Lepisosteus oculatus: one gene and its partner. The protein of the gene in region 1 interacts with the protein of each later gene in a pairwise test. Links are inferred from orthologs where the notes say so. Each region holds a gene or a part of one and is shown on either strand. Other genes may lie near its edges.

The links. The genes of interacting proteins can lie anywhere in the genome.
Region 2: the proteins of txlna (region 1) and stmn2b interact in binary tests that used the Homo sapiens proteins (3 or more experiments, as listed by UniProt). The two-hybrid records come from large-scale screens. The link is inferred for Lepisosteus oculatus from reciprocal best matches to the Homo sapiens genes TXLNA and STMN2.

Annotation. Positions count from the first base shown.
Region 1 is NC_090706.1:3,310,944-3,318,877, reverse strand, and holds the start of txlna (alpha-taxilin), read right to left. Parts: upstream 3,505-7,934; 5' UTR 3,394-3,504; intron 1,864-3,393; 5' UTR 1,856-1,863; coding exon 1,693-1,855; intron 660-1,692; coding exon 384-659; intron 172-383; coding exon 80-171; intron 1-79. UniProt on the Homo sapiens protein: May be involved in intracellular vesicle traffic and potentially in calcium-dependent exocytosis in neuroendocrine cells.
Region 2 is NC_090705.1:27,026,747-27,035,202, forward strand, and holds the start of stmn2b (stathmin-2b), read right to left. Parts: upstream 3,363-8,456; 5' UTR 3,193-3,362; coding exon 3,174-3,192; intron 1-3,173. UniProt on the Homo sapiens protein: Regulator of microtubule stability. When phosphorylated by MAPK8, stabilizes microtubules and consequently controls neurite length in cortical neurons.

The DNA.
Region 1 (7,934 bases):
AGAGGAAGAATGACCTGTGAGCACTTGGAAAAAATCTCACCCCTTGAGTCCTTACACCTCTCGGGTTCACGACACTCACCAGCTCGGCATATTTCTTGCAGAGCGCAGCCAGTTTCTCCTCTGGGGTGCTGAGGGTGTTCAGGGTCTGCATCAGCAGCGTGATCTCCTTTCCTGAAGGACAAAGGAAGTGCACAACTTGAGCAGGACCACTGACATTACCGAAGACAGGCGGGTGGTCATGTAGGTTCCAAACCACACGTGCTGGACAATGTCTCGTCTTTGTTCCCCCCAGTTCAATCTAAACTATTTCAACTGAGTCTAAAGCCGCAGGAGAACTGCCCCACTGCTCCAAAGTGCAGTGACCAGCGAGTGAAAAGTCTTACCGAGGCCCTTAACCTTTTTCTTCTCCTGCGGTTTCTTCTGGTCTTTGTCGGCGACGTCCCCGTTGAGCTTGGGCTCCTCCGTCTTGCCGTCTTCCTTCTCCGCCAGGCCGTTGACCACCAGGCAGTCCAAGTCGGGCTCGCCATTGCGGGGCGACTCGCTCCTGCCCTCTGCTGGCTCCGGCGGCGCCCCGTCCTCCCCGCTGTCCTCCTGGCAGTACGTGTTCAGGATGTCCTCCAGCTGCCGGCTCAGCTCCTCCGACACGTCGCGGGACACCGCTGTGGAGGGCGGGACGCGCACCGTCAGCGCGGCGCCGACACCAGTAACGGGGAGTAACGGCTGCAACTACTGAGGCAGACACTCTCGTCTAAGCCGCTCAAGCTAACCTCACTTAGAGACACAGTCTAACAGTTCTAGGTTTCAGATCGAAATGTTTTAAGATGCTACATTTGTATCTGACGGACATTTGCAGGTCCCATCAGGACACAGGAGAGCATGGAAGGAGTGTAAGCACTCTGAATGGTGGTACGTCTAAGTAACGCTGGCACATAAAAAGATAGAAGCATCATCACCTTAAGACCTGAGGAATAAGGGTTTAATTGGAATAATAACTCTTCTAATAGTTCACCAACCACAAGGGATCCTAAGGCTGTTCATGACAAAGAAATCTAAAATAACAGCTACATTGTGGTCACCTCTAACAGGGACTTGAGAGCTCTTTCCAGAGAATGTCAAGCCTTTCACCAGTGGGGCCTTTAAGTCATCTTTGACCTTCAGGACAAGAAGCAAACATCACATATGGACATTCTGGATTGTCATTTCATCTGTTTCCTAGTGCCTCGGCAAGGTTTTGATATTTGTTCCCTGCTGGGGAGCTGCAATACTCTAAGGACACTGCATTCGTAAAGCCTGCGATTTGACGAGATGTGCAATGAAAAACATCTTTTACCTATCGCCGGAATAAAAAAATAGATTCATGTTCACTGGTGATTGAAGATGTTTAAAGCCCCCATCAGTTTGCTATTTCTGGTAGCTCCAACGCAAGCCTGGACTGCAATCATGTGAGCTACCCTAGCAGGGACCAAACCTATCCCCCCACTGGCTGTTAGACTGTCTCCACTTTATTCAACTTCAATTCCTTCTGTCCTGAACTTCAGCCAAGACCAGGACTAGCTGCTTAAATGGTTTCCCACAAGACTAAGAGGTTGGGGTGGTAGGTTCTGTTAGAAGACATACAGTGTGAAGTAGTGTATGATCTCCGGGTTATTTCTCTGCAGCGCTCCACAGATGCGAGAGCAGATTCCGACTTACCCCCGTTCTTGGCCTGCGTCTCCGGAGGCGGAGTGTCAGGCTGCTGGTTGTCCGCAGACTCCTGGCTGCCAGCGCGCTCCAGAGCCGCCCCTTCCCCTTCTCCGGGCTGAGCCCCACTGCCTCCGCACAGCTGCTCGGGCCCTTCACTGTCCTGCTTCTTCATCACGGCGGCTGCCAAGAGGAAGGGCAAGGCATGATGGCTGGAGCTCTGCAGTGGCCGCCGTTTTCACTAGACGCTGCTGTTGCTGCGGTTACACTGCAACTGAGGTGGTGATGATCACTACCCATGCCTGACAGTGACCTCTAAAAAGCCAGAAATTCCAATGGCTTACACGTCATGTATGCAAGGGATTACCTTTTCAATTTTTAATTTCAAGGAAAAGGCTCGGGCGGCACATTGGCGCAGTGGTTAGTGCTACTGCCTCTCAATGCTGGGGCCCTGGGCCCAGTACCGGACCTGAGCTGCTATGTTCACGGAGTTTGTACGTTCTCCCTGTGTTTGTGTGGGCTTCCTCCCACAGTCCAAAGACATGCTGGCGGGGTAACTGGGCTCTGGGAAAACTGGCCCAGATGTGAGTGTGTGCGTTGGTATCCGTGTGTGCCCTGCGACGGACATGGATGGATTTCAAAGACAACATTTCCTCCTCTCAGAGCAGAAGAGAAAGAACAACGAAATCGTGAAACAGACACAGAGCTTCTTCTGAGCGCGCACCCCTGCTCCCTTCGACACCCTTCAGGCGACAGGCACACGTATCCTGTCATGAGCTACGAACCCTATTAAGAAATTCATTTCTCTTGCGTGATTTTACATCATTCCAGGGGATAGATCCCCAAATTAAGCAAGGAGCACGTTTAGAAATGCGCACACATTTCCTGGATTTCGCAGAACCAAACCAAGATGAAGCCAAACGTGAGAAACAGGAGACAGTGCAACAACTGACTCGGTCTGTTACTTCAGTGACACGTTTCACACGATTAGCCGTTTCTTTGAAGCCACTTACACCGATTTCAAAACCAGCCTCTACAATATTATTCCGGATCAAGGCTCCAACAGGACTGCAGTAAGACCCCGATACGCCTGCGTACCTACACTAAAATTGACATGAGATTCCGTTGTGACAACGTTATTTTTTGTTTTGGAAATCACTGAACTTCAGTGGCTCCAACCGCCTGAAGCCAGCCCTACGACACTTAAGTGTCTTATTAGTATCGGACATTGTTTTATTTTCGCTTCGTGTATCAATCCAAAGTTTCTGTTAACCCCTCAACAAATAGAATCATTACTTTAAAACATGCGTAGGGTTGTCCATGATAACGCATTTGAACAGCATCACGTAGGTGGGACAACACGATTAAAAAAGGCAAATCAAGTTACATTTGGCCGACTGTAATAGACAGTCCCCTTTAAAACCAACAGTGATACAAAACTAGTAACAGACTTTCTTAAGCAAAAAAAGGGGTGAGCTAAACTTAAATCTCTTTAGAATATAATCGAACAAAAAATCCATGTGGATCACAGCTAACGACAAAAGTCACTACGATATCAGCAAAATAGGATTACTGAAAAGAACCGAATAATTCTTCATCACGTTCACTAGCTACTCACAACTTCACGTTATCGCCTATACATACAAAACACAGTTTCGTAATTCCAGTCTTGCTAAAAAAAACTAGGCATTTTGTTATTTCTACGACACTTACCACTGAAATAATATCTGTATCGTCTCAAACGAGCAAATAAAACACTTCAACACTCTGCTTTCCTGCCAACTGACACACCGGAAATACCGGTGAATTGGTACATTCTGATTGGCGACGCCGTAAGCGGATGTGCAAGATAAAAGGAAAAGACGTTGGGGGAAAGTTGGAGAGGGTGGGCCGGAGTTTCGCAATGCTTCATGGTCGATGTAGTTTCTTCCTGCTTCTAGAGGACTTCAATCACCACAATGCGCTTGGAAAAATAAACTTTCTGTTTCCCATAACCGTGACACAAAAAGCTGTTGGTAAAAAGCGAAACTTGCTCAGATAAAACAATTATGGCACTCCTAAAGCTAACAAATTCGCCCCCGGACACAAAAGACAATTCTAAATTATTGTCCAGATCTAAATAAATAATGATAACCGCTCATACTCTATTATTGGCACCTGTTAAGGTCTGTGATATATTTTATGATTTGAGCATAATACTTTAAGCAGTGATACCAGCGTGTAATGTTAAAATAAACCTTTAAGGTAGTGGTAGTATATAGCCATAAATGAAACTTTTTTTTTACTACTTTAGGTAGGGTTTCCATTTGAACGTTCAAAAGAGAGGCCACTCTGTCGACGGATGACAGTGGTATTTGTAGCAGGGTCTATTAAAGTATCTAAGGAAAAAAATCTCTGTTTTGAAAATTCCTCCTGGACAGATAATTAAGAACTACAGGAGTGGACACGTCTGGAAAAAGACGTCTGTATGGTAACCCCACTTCATGGGAATCCTAACAAAATAATACATTTTATACATGTACATGTATTATTATACAATAATACGTGTTTTTTCACACATTTGAAAATTTCCAATGGTTCTCTGCAGCCCTGAAGAGTTTTTTTTCCTGCTTTCTGATGTATTTACGCTTGGATTTTATATTTATCGATTTTTTTTTAACAGCTTTATCCAGTGCTTGGTCACGGAGAAGCCAGAGCCTATCCTGACAAGTGCCTGGGGTCCAAGCAGAGTATTCCGTAGGTGGGACACCAGTCCCTGGCAGGGCACACACACACACAGTCACACTCACGGCAGGGCCAACTTTCCCAGAGGTCAGTCAACTTACCAGTATGTGTTTGACTGCAGAAGATTGCCACAGGGACTGTGGGAGCAAACTGGGAGAACCTGGAGGATCCCCACAAGAAATGGGGGAGAACATGCAAACTCCACTCACATGGCACACAGAGAATTGAACCCAGGGCCCCAGTGCAGTCGGTATCTTTGACCCAAACGCATCCTCGCCTCGCAGAGGCTGCCAGACTGGAATATTCCAGCAAGGACTGCTCCATTACGGAGGGGGTGTGACCCTGATCCAAGATCCTGATCTGCAACCCACATCTTTGCATGTGGGCGTCCTCTGGGTACCTCATTTTCAGGATGGACACGGTGTTTGGCATGTAATGTCTCAGCACTGCACTAATGCTGTTTGTGACATCTGAAGGAGATTGGAGATTGTCTCAGTAAAACGTCACATCCCAGTCTGAAGCTTGATCACGCTCTGCATGAGACTATCATACGGCAACACACATGTTCCTGTTAGGAAGCAATATGTCATCTTACTGCAGAGGCGCCACAAGTTTCAGTTGAATCAATGGGGCCTATACACTGGCCATGCAGCTCAAAGAAGTCTTGAGGCTAATCATAAGACTTTATTGATCCCAAAGGGAAATTGAGGGATCGGATTAATCAATTAAATTAAGATCAGACAAGATTACTTTATTAGCCATATACAATTTCTTGAATTAGGAATTGCTCTTTTCGCATACCCCAGCTTGCTCTCCATAGGACACAGGCACACAGACAGAGAGAGAGAAGCTTGGGGTCAGCCATTTAGACAGCACCCCTGGAGCAGTTGGGGTTAAGGGCATTGCTCAAGGGCCCAATGGATTAGGATTCCTCTGGCGGCCGTGGGATTTGAACTGGCTACCTTCCAGCCACAGAGCCACTGCCCCGCCCGTTAGGGGTAAATACTTCCTGGTCCCAGTTTTTATGTAAAGGATGTTTGCAGTACATGCAACATGTGAATCACAATTAACTGGATATGTTCAGAATTTATGTCAGTTTCTTCTTCAGGGCAGTGTTTTCTGTTTCACCAAGGAAACACAACATGAAACATCAGAATGCAGATTTTATTTTAATCACACTGGTATATATGCATCTCTCCCGATTCTGGTGCATACTAAGGTATGCAAGACAATTGGTAGATTTTGTAAGTTCCTATAACTGGTCACAACACAAAGAAAACACACAAAGATTGCAACAAGATTTCAATGACATTTTTATTGAACTTTTATTCTCTTACAGTATTTGTAACCCTACATAACCTTTTTCATTTATTTTGTTAATTTCTGTTTCATGTTCATGTATATGTGTATCATGTTCTGTTCGTGTTCACGTCTGAATCTGTCCTCACACTCATTCACATGGTCGGCTGAAGAAGAGTCAGTGTCAAAGCGTCAGTCACAAGCAAGCCAAAATCAAATACAAAAAGAAAATAAAGGACCAAAAAGGGATCTCAGGGTTATCCAGTATAGCATATATCAAATCTGCAGAAACACTTTCTACAGCCCTTTCCAATTCTGTCCTCACTCCCCACCTCATTACAAGTACGTGATCCATCCTGAACCATAAAACTCTGCTCTGTGGCACATATGAAACATGCATAACTACCCTGTAAACTGAATTGGAATACATACAATAAGTGTTTAAAATATGCAACATAACAGCACAAACACCTTGCATAAAAGCTCTGTAAAGGAAACAGTAAAATAATAACACCAAGACGTATCGGAAATGGAAGCAAGACAGGAAGGAGGGAATTAAAACAGACTCGAAGGATCAGTATATGGATGTGGCTATTTTAAGCTACTGGCTGATCCTGATTTGTGGAATTCATGACCGAAGACAACGAACACTTCTGCAGTGTGAGAATACAACTATCAACACATGAAGTTAGTGCTACAACTTGCAACTGGATTTGTTCTTCCAAGTTTCTTGATTGATATGTAAGAAACAAACCTGTGCTTAAAATTCCACCAGATTTGTAGAATATTCCCAACCACTTAAACGAGAAGGGTGGATTTATCCTCTGTCCGCACAAATGGGGGGAGGTTTCTATTGCTATATCTGCATGGTTCATGTTTTCACAGTTTGATTCGGGAGGTCTGTAAGGAGATTTCTTTAACTAGAAATTCAGAAATTCCGCCAGTCAATTTTATCCCATCCTAATCCCAGCTGACTAATGTCAGTAACCCCCACTGACCACCAACATTCAAAGAAGACTGGAAAAAAAAAAAATCTGCAAAGCTGGTGAACAGACTGTGGAAGTCTAATGACTGACCAGAGGTTCGAAAGCCCAGAAATACTTTGTGCTGACCATTCTGTGACCACAACCACTGAACTGAGACAAAAACCAGAAGAGCTTGCGATCGCTCGACATGGAAGAGCCAAGCAGGTGCTGCCCAAAAACCGTGGCTAACTTCTGCAGCATGCTGCCATGAAAACAGGGAGGTGCACCCTCAGCACGGCAGGTAAGGTTCATACAAAAACAATGACCAAAACTCCGGATACAGATACCATGGCTTCCATCACTAGCAGATCTGAAAACAGTACTACACAATAAATTAGAAAAACAGATCAACCCGACAATTAAATAATTCTGATCCAATATAAAGAATTTAGTGCAAGAACAGTAAAGGACACCACTTTTTTTAAAAAAATGTAGCAGGTAATGTAACTTCATCAGTTAAGCAAATAAAGCAGCAAAGTTTGCACAAACAATTGTGCACATTCAAGTACAAAACAAGAAGTCATAAAGACCAAGAAGATACTCAGACAAACCTTCAGGGACTTTATTGGTCAGATTGGCACTTCAGTGAATAGAGGAGTGCATTACTCTTTTTTGTTCCAAACAATATTCTCACATTCTTCTTGTGGATATGTTTCCTGTTATTTACATCTACAGGTGCAAGTAAACTCTGGCTCGCCAATCCAGTAAAAAGCTCTCGGGCTCCACCCTAAAGCAAAAGGAGATGTTTTTCTCCATTCCTTCTCATTTAGACATTTTTATTAGTAACACACCTGTTGCTTAGTTATTTTTACATGCCAGTGTATGGCACTTTCTTGTAGAACTTTTTTTCCCCCCAAAATACCCAACACCTATAAAAAAAAATCCAAGACCTAGATGTATAAAAACATCTCATTTTCAAACAATCTGGAATATAGCCAATTGACAACGTAGAACTAAAATGTACAAAAACTGTCAATAAAAAAAAATACTGGAATATTAATAGATATTAAAAGGAAAACATGAAGATGGGGAACATTATCACAGGGCTGCAACCCAGCTGCATTTTTGCATAGTTAACAGCCTACACATCTGAGCTTTGAGGGCAGTTACTAAACCAGCAGAAGTGTCTTGTATCTGTGAACAGCAGCAGGACAGAAAAGCAAATGAGAAACTAGATTCTCACAGAAAGCACGCCCAGCTCTGCTG
Region 2 (8,456 bases), on another chromosome or scaffold:
CTTAATTTTTCAAAGGATGTTTCCCATCCAGGTACTGACCAGGTACTGACCAGGCCCACACCTGCTTAGCTTCAGTGGGTTGCCAGTTGGGAATTGCAGAGTGATATGGCTGCTGGCCATATCTGCAACCCCCCAGTGCAAGCCAGAATCTAACAGGTGTCAGTGCCACCTTAAACAAATAAATTAAATTCAAGACATATTTTGCTATAACTCCTGCACTTTTCAAAGATGAAAAGTGGCAAGCCTAGTAATTAACCTCAGAATGGAACCAGGATTGTGATGATAAAGAGTTGATTTAATTCTGATCACACTGGGGTATCTTTAAAGTCAATAGCAGCATTCCTCTGCAAATATTCCAACACCATGACACAATCATTAAGGTTCTGAATTGACTTTTGATCCTTTCAATAGACACTTTTGCCTATATGCCAATGATATGATTTTAGTACCCAACAATAATGGCTCCAGACAGTACTTTCACACCTCTTCCAGAATTTATTTTTTATATTATTTTCTTAGTGTATATATTTTCCTCAAACATCATGTCAGATGTGCAAATATAAGTTTTTATATGCCTCATAATATTAAGTACCAGTATGAGATTCTTCACCTAATAGTCAGGGCTGGAGCTGTTAGTGTTGTAGCAAAATTAATTTCTCTGACCCCCATAGTTGAGCAAGTATTATCTGAGGAAGCAAACACTCAGGAGTAGAAGCCACTGAGAAGTTCTGATTCTAACCTCAGTGCAAATGACTGGTGCTCTTGGACACCTTAGAAATGTGCAACGGTTATACAGGAATCAGATGTAATATCCAGATATGTCAAAATATCTGCCAAAAAAAGATTTAAAAACTCCTCAGCAGGTAACAGAGTTCCAGTCAGAGTGCCTGCAGTGATCTGTCACCAACCAGCTACAGATTGTCAATACTGATCAGTAGGCTGCTGCAGAGGCCACTGTATGACCACCCCCCTGCTGCAGGGCTGGCCCAACTCCCACACTGCTGTCTGCTTGCAGAACAGCAACTCCAAAGGCAGGACCAAAAAGGTGCCCTGTAGTTTGTGATTGTCTCATACCAAAAACCCACCACCCATTTAACTACACATTCATCTGGGCTGTGTGCCTGAATCTACAGCACTCTATAGTGGCCTTAGATTTGAGGGCCCAGAGTTCAGTCAGTTTTTGGGTTCACCGCAAAAAAAGGGGCCTCTGGATTGCCTCCACTCTTTCGCAAGATTTCTTAAGTACTTTCTTTTAGGAATTCCATTGGCATATAAAAATGATTTAGTGACACACAGACAAATTTAATATAATCTTTTTAACTGTCTATGTGTATCGCTAGCCAGTAATGTATACTTCAGCAAATGATAAATAACTCTACCTATCAAGGGTATAATTGAGAATTATAGGTCGCAAAAAGATTAATATTGCAGCCTTTTCATCTGACACAAAATCTACATTTTCTGTTTTAATACTACCTATTTAAAGAGCAAGTAGAAGCTCAGGTGGATGTCTGTACAGGTCTACTAATCTGTCCGATGAACTAAAAACCAGCAAGCTTATTAACATCATAATACTGAATACTAATACATAATACTAAATACAACAGAATAAAGCAGGGCCTTTTTTTAGAGTCTCTGTTTATCTGTAGATATAGAAAAGTATGTTTCCTTCTAAAACAGTCTAATTATTTAAAGAAAATAGGATAAATACAGGTGCATACCACTTCCACACACGTTCTGTACAGTAAATCCATATTTCAGTCCTCTGTTCACTGTATTAAGATAAACACCTATACGTTAGTGATATTGTGATGGAATTGTACACGTAGACTTTTGTCCTCTTTAGAAATGCTGCACAGATATCTGCATTAATGTTAGAAAATATATTGGAGACTCTTCAAGGACTCATCCAGAATCTGAAACCACAGCTTTATAAAATTTCCAATTCTGATAATGTAGGTAGCCTTAAGAGGCCCAGTATAACTGTTATAGCTAACAAAGCAATGATATAGAAGAATAACTGAGCATAACGTCTTGTTAAACAGGTGCAAAGAAGGGTGGATACCCTTCGCATCGCTATCTGAACAATAGTCACGGAAAAAATTAAGGTAATATCCTTTAACAGACATAATGAAAGGACGGTTCACTGTTTATGCATATTACGGTTCTGCGATACAAAACGATTGTTCTATCGTTCATTTAACTAGATGACCCTGTTAGATACAGAATTACACTGTCACCTTCAGTGTCTGAGAGCAAGCAGATGATTCACAAAGGAAATGCATATGGATGGCGCACCTGCTGAAAACTGAAGATTCCGATCGATAATAAAATGACAATAGCCAAGCCACTTTTAATTCAATGCAGTCAAATTGTTAGTTTGTTTTAATCAAGGCAGTGCCATTGATAAGCAGTGATATTTGTAAATGAATTCAGTGAAAATTCTTTTGAAAGCGATGGCTTCTGTTTTTAACCTCATCTATACATAACATGCAAGTGTATTTAATAAAAAAAACACTGTCATGTGAATATTTAATTTTCTCTGCAACACATCCTTATTTTTATATTTAATGTCTTGGCAAATCTGGTTTTAATAGCACCTTATTCTCCCCAATCGTTAGTAAAACGCCCCGAAATCTTGAAGAGAGCGAGCTCTGGGTGGGGTCTCTCTGCATTATGCTGTAGTAGCATGTGCAGAGCTACTGTAGCGGGTGCGGCGTTATAAATAAGCGGTGGTGGTGCTTGACATTTCCAAAACCGAAATAAATTCGATCTCAGGTATGCACATAAAAAAATTGTTATGTTAAATGCAATTTAATGTAATCAGAATACGATGAAAATAACACGTCTTATTAAGCTCTGTATTCAACGGTGCAGGATCAAGACATTTCGGCCCAATTCATAAAATTAAAACCTTAAAAAACAACGACAATATAAAATATGACTTTTGTAAATAGGTGGTAACATATGCAATTCATTTCATTTTAAAATGCACATGTGTATATGCGAATTTCTTCTCATGCGTCAGTGCTGTTGCAATTGACCGCTCCCTTGCAATTGACAAAAGCCTGAGGTCCTTTGTGTTTCGGATGTCGCACCTACCTGTGTTAGATTTCATTGCCCCTTTTAAATTAGTAAAATATCCTTATTAAAATAATCAGCCTTCTCCTTACCCATTGCGGTTTTAGCCATGGTTGTGGGTACAGTTGTTCGGTACCAAGGAAAGCGGTGCAGTTTCAGTAAGCGGCTAGAGAAAGGACTGAATAAGGCACTGAGTCAGCAGATCAGCGCTCCGTGCGTAAGAAAGAGCAAGAGACAGGACTCTGTGAATTATTATCGCTTTTGTTCACAAGCAGATTGGCTGCCGTGGTCCCCTGACGCGCATCTTCAATCGAGAAACCGCCGTGCTACCGGCATCTTAAAAAACCTCCGACTGATTCTAGGTCGGAATTAGAGTTGAAATTTTAAATAGTTATAATAACCACCACACCCCTCTCATACCACATTTAACGGTGCACCTCAACCAACACCCTAAAAGCCCTGTGCATAACATTACTTTATTAGGTAGATATACTGAAATAAATAAAAATAAGACTGCTATTCAAGTTTTATAATAATATCTGGTGATTAATGATTATTTAAGGTTTTTTCTTTATTGTTAGCTTTATTCTGATTTATATACGGAAAAGCTTTTGGAGCTTTTATAAACGAGTGTATATGAATCAAAGGAGGAAATACAAGTTTATTGTAATGTCTAGCAATCATTTTCCAAAGAAAATGTGTCTAAAATACCGCCTAATTCATCTTAAATAGCAGCCATATCACCTTGCAACTCACAACTGGCAACCCACTGAAGCTAAGCGGGTGTGAGCCTGGTTAATGCCTGGATGAGAGACCTCCAGGGAAAAACTAAGGTTGCTGCTGGAAGAGGTGTTAGTGGGGCCAGCAGGGGGCGGTCACCCTGCAGTCCATGTGGGTCCTAATGTCCCAGTATAGTGACGGGGACACTATACTGTAAACAGGCGCCGTCCTTTGAATGAGATGTAAAACGGAGGTCCTGACTCTCTGTGGTCATTAAAAATCCCAGGGTGTTTCTCGAAAAGAGTAGGGGTGTAACCCTGGTCCTGGACAAATTTCCCATTGGCCTTTACCAATCATGGCCTCCTAATAATCCTCCTCTATGAATTGGCTACATTACTCTGCTCTCCTCCCCACTGGGAGCTGATGTGTGGTGAGTGTTCTGACGCATTATGGCTGCCGTCACATCATCGAGGTGGATGCTGCCCATTGGTGGTGGTAACAGTCCCCATTACCTGTAAAGCGCTTTGAGTGGAGTGTCCAGAAAAGCGCTATATAACTGTAAGCAATTATTATTATTAAAATTAAAGGATATGTCTATGACAAGTTTAACCTGGCCTGGTGTAGGAGTTACCTTCAAATCAGCATTTTGTGAAAAAATTGGAACATATGTTTTGATTAGTTGAGTCCATTAATTGGTTCACTTACCAACTTTAGCTTTCAAGAGTAACACAATTTTGTTGTTTTCATTTTGAATGAGCTCTAAACTCCTTTCATGGAACATACAGTGCCCTCCAAAAGTACTGGGACAAGAGTTCAAATTTTCCCATGTATGCTGTATTCTCAGGAAATATGGATTTCAAAATCACAAGATGAATATAAGACAAAAGCAGTTGTGTGTTTTTATGCATAAATCATTATACAACAACAGCACTTCTTTTGTTCAACCCCCCACGTTTATATAAGAATATTGTCACGATCGTCATCCCTCCTCTAGAGGGGGCTCTGACCCTTTTGTGTTTGTTTCATTATCACGTACACCTGTCCCTGGTTTCACCGGTATTATTTCAACCCAGTGCTCTGGAAGCTCGATGCTTTGCATTGGAAGATGGATGCCCAGAGGTCCGCTTAGCATCAAGTCGCCATACTGTACGTCCACGGCTTGAGGGCTTAGGCTTCCGAAAAGCGTCCAGGGCTCGGAGGGCCTGGCCTTGTCATTCTGTTTGGACAGTTGGACAGTTTTGGACTTGTTTGCCTGCGCTACCCCTTTGCACCTGGATCACTGTCGGCACCGCCTCCCTTTCGCCATTCCTTCCATTCCTCACTGTTATTTCCCAGTAGAACTTCTCCAGTCATTTCCGGATTATACCGTCTGCATAGGGTCCTGAACTACGCACTACAAGGAAGTCAGGACCGGCTCCCATTAAAAATATGTACTGGGACAAATGGGGTTTACAGGTGTTTCTAATTGTGCAGATGTTACATGTTGCATACGTTTCACACACAAGAGCTGTGAAGGTCTGGCGTGGTTGAGGTCTTTTGAAACTGCTTCTGAAGTCTTTCTCTTGAATTAGTCAGGAAAAACCAACCTGAAGACCAGAGAAGAAGGCTATTTTGAAAATGAGAGGAAAGAAAATGACCATCAGAAAAACTGAAAAGTCTCTTGGCATTCCAAAATCAACAATCTGGGATGTTTTTAACAAAAAGGAAACTGGAGAAGTCAATAACAGGCTGAGAACAGAGCGTCCAAAAAAGACAAATGAAGTGGATGATAGAAAAATATTTTTGTGAAAAAACAAATTGTTAGTGAAATCAAAAATCTCCAGAGTGTGGGGAGGCAAATTTTGAGCACCACAATCCATAGAAGACTTCACCAAAAAAAACCTGGAGGCTAGTCTTTATTGATGACTTAACTGAAGATGTTAGCAGTAGGGTACATTCAGACACATAGAAACAGATCTTGTCTGCAAATGTAAGAAAAAATGGCACCAGACTTATTGGGTGGCAGTTAATTATGCAGCAGGACAATGACCCAAAACATATTGCACGCTTAAAACAGACAGAAAATAAAACATTTTAAACTGGCCAAATCAATCACCAGATTTAAATCCAATTGAGCAAGTGTGACAGATTGAAACACTTGAAAGGGTTGAAAGTTTGGGGTGGTTTGGGCGTTCTGAATATTGGCCAGTGAGGATCGCTTTCGTTTAGGAAAGTCGGCAGTTAATTAGTTTTTGCCTGCTCAGGTATTATAGAGGGAGCTCATGCGGTTTTCTTTTTTTTTTCTAGCGTTCGGTTTTCAGTTTTTTTTCGGAGCTCGCGGTTAAACGGTTTAGAAATAAAAACTGCGTGTACGTTTTAATTCTTTAATCATCTCCCCTTTTTGAGGGGTGTAACACAAACATTATATTTGTTCAAAAGGAGACTGAAGGAAGAAAGCCTGACCAACAAGCAACGGCTTCAAGAGGCTGCAGTTAAAGCCTAGAAAAGCATATCAAGTGAAGAAGTCTGGTGATGTCAACGGGACGGAGGCTTGATGCAGTTATTGCAAGCAAGGGATTTGCAACAAAAGACTGATTTTTCCCTTCTTTAATTTAAAGTCCCAATATTTATGATCACCTAAATAAACAGGCGCCGTCCTTTGAATGAGATGTAAAACGGAGGTCCTGACTCTCTGTGGTCATTAAAAATCCCAGGGTGTTTCTCGAAAAGAGTAGGGGTGTAACCCTGGTCCTGGATATCAAGTGAAGAAGTCTGGTGATGTCAACGGGACGGAGGCTTGATGCAGTTATTGCAAGCAAGGGATTTGCAACAAAAGACTGATTTTTCCCTTCTTTAATTTAAAGTCCCAATATTTATGATCACCTAAGTAAACAGGCGCCGTCCTTTGAATGAGATGTAAAACGGAGGTCCTGACTCTCTGTGGTCATTAAAAATCCCAGGGTGTTTCTCGAAAAGAGTAGGGGTGTAACCCTGGTCCTGGACAAATTTCCCATTGGCCTTTACCAATCATGGCCTCCTAATAATCCTCCTCTATGAATTGGCTACATTACTGGGGGGGGGTTTGAACACAGCACATGCTTTAGTTGAAAAATTGTGTGTGCAAAATATATCCTAAAAAGAAAGGGTGACCTTCTGAGCTCAGACTCAGAAGAATTTCAGGTTCTTTGTGGATACAACAGGGAAATGCCAATTTTAGGTTTTTGTCTCAATACATTTGGAGGGCATTGTAATTTCTACTTAGTGGCCAAAGTGAAATTGTTTCAGGTGTTTTAAAAACGGACAACCTAAAACATTAAAGATACACTGTATTTAACTGCAAGCTTAACAACGTACTTGTAGGACCTCATTTATAAACTACTGTATGTTCAGTTTCAGGTACCATAAGAAAAAAAGGATATTATCATCCAAAAGTTCAAATAACAACAACTGGAATGCAAGGATTATGCCTGTCTCCTGACACCAGGAATCTACTGATGGGGTAGGGTTTTAAGAAATATCCATCTACCCATTTTCTAACAACCTCATCCAATTCAGGGTCACAGGGGAGCTAGAGCCTTCTGAGGCGCAAGAAAGGATACCAGTAGTATAAAGCGATACCTTTCATCAAACTTTTTTGACAGGTGCCACACCCCCTTTTTCAGCCACTGGGAGTCCACGGTGGGGCCGATGTCCCACCCCCTCAGGAGCCAATGGTGTGTTGTTAAGGGGCAGATGTCCCGCCTTCCCCCTGCTGGTCAGGCCTGAGACTCATGGTCCAAAAGCCCCAGTCACCGCATCCCTCGATTTATAAATAAGTGTATGAAAGCATGTGTTAGGGTTGGAAGGCGACCATGTCTTCTGCGGGGTTGACCACTCTATTATAACCCTAGGGAATCAGGGAGTTACGGCGGCGTGGGGAGTCTGGTGAGGGCCACGAGATCCCGGGGTGTGAGCGTCAACAACCGCGGCCAGGTGGCCAAGTGGTTGACCCTAACAGCAAGTCTCAAAAAAAACATCAAGGGCATGTAAGCACTCACATACACACACAGTGACCACGTAGTCTCATGGAAAGAACTCACAGGACAAATAGCATGTGAAATGCGAACCACTTATTTCATGAATAGGTTTTCAAACACAGAAACATCGTAGTACACACTTTTCACAAACGTTAAAGACTCCCGTTTTCAAGCATGTAAAATGCGAACCACTATTTCCTTTATAGGTTTTCAAACACAGAAACATCGCAGTACACACACATTACCTGCTCCCGTTTGCAATCAACAATTAAATGTTGGTGCGGAAAATTAGTTCGGTACACATAACCACCACCCCAACATTGCTTAGGACTTTGAGGCATCTGAAAAAGCATTCATAATGCCCTTCCGCTCCCCATGTCTAAAACCATGTGAGCCGCATTGGGCGATTTGATCGAGCAGAGCAAACAAATTTGCCTGAATAATCAGCGGATGGTGTTACCACAGGTTCTGTGCAAAACACGTTGTATTTTGGAATACAGACTGCAGAAGCCATCAGGCTTCCGTTTCTGATCTGAAAACATCAGATCTGCAATAATTTCACTCATGTTCTTGAAATACACATCTATCTGTTTAACAAATTTAAGGACATTAGCATTCGACTCTTTGTTTTTCATATCAAGCTTTGTAGAAAGAAGTGTG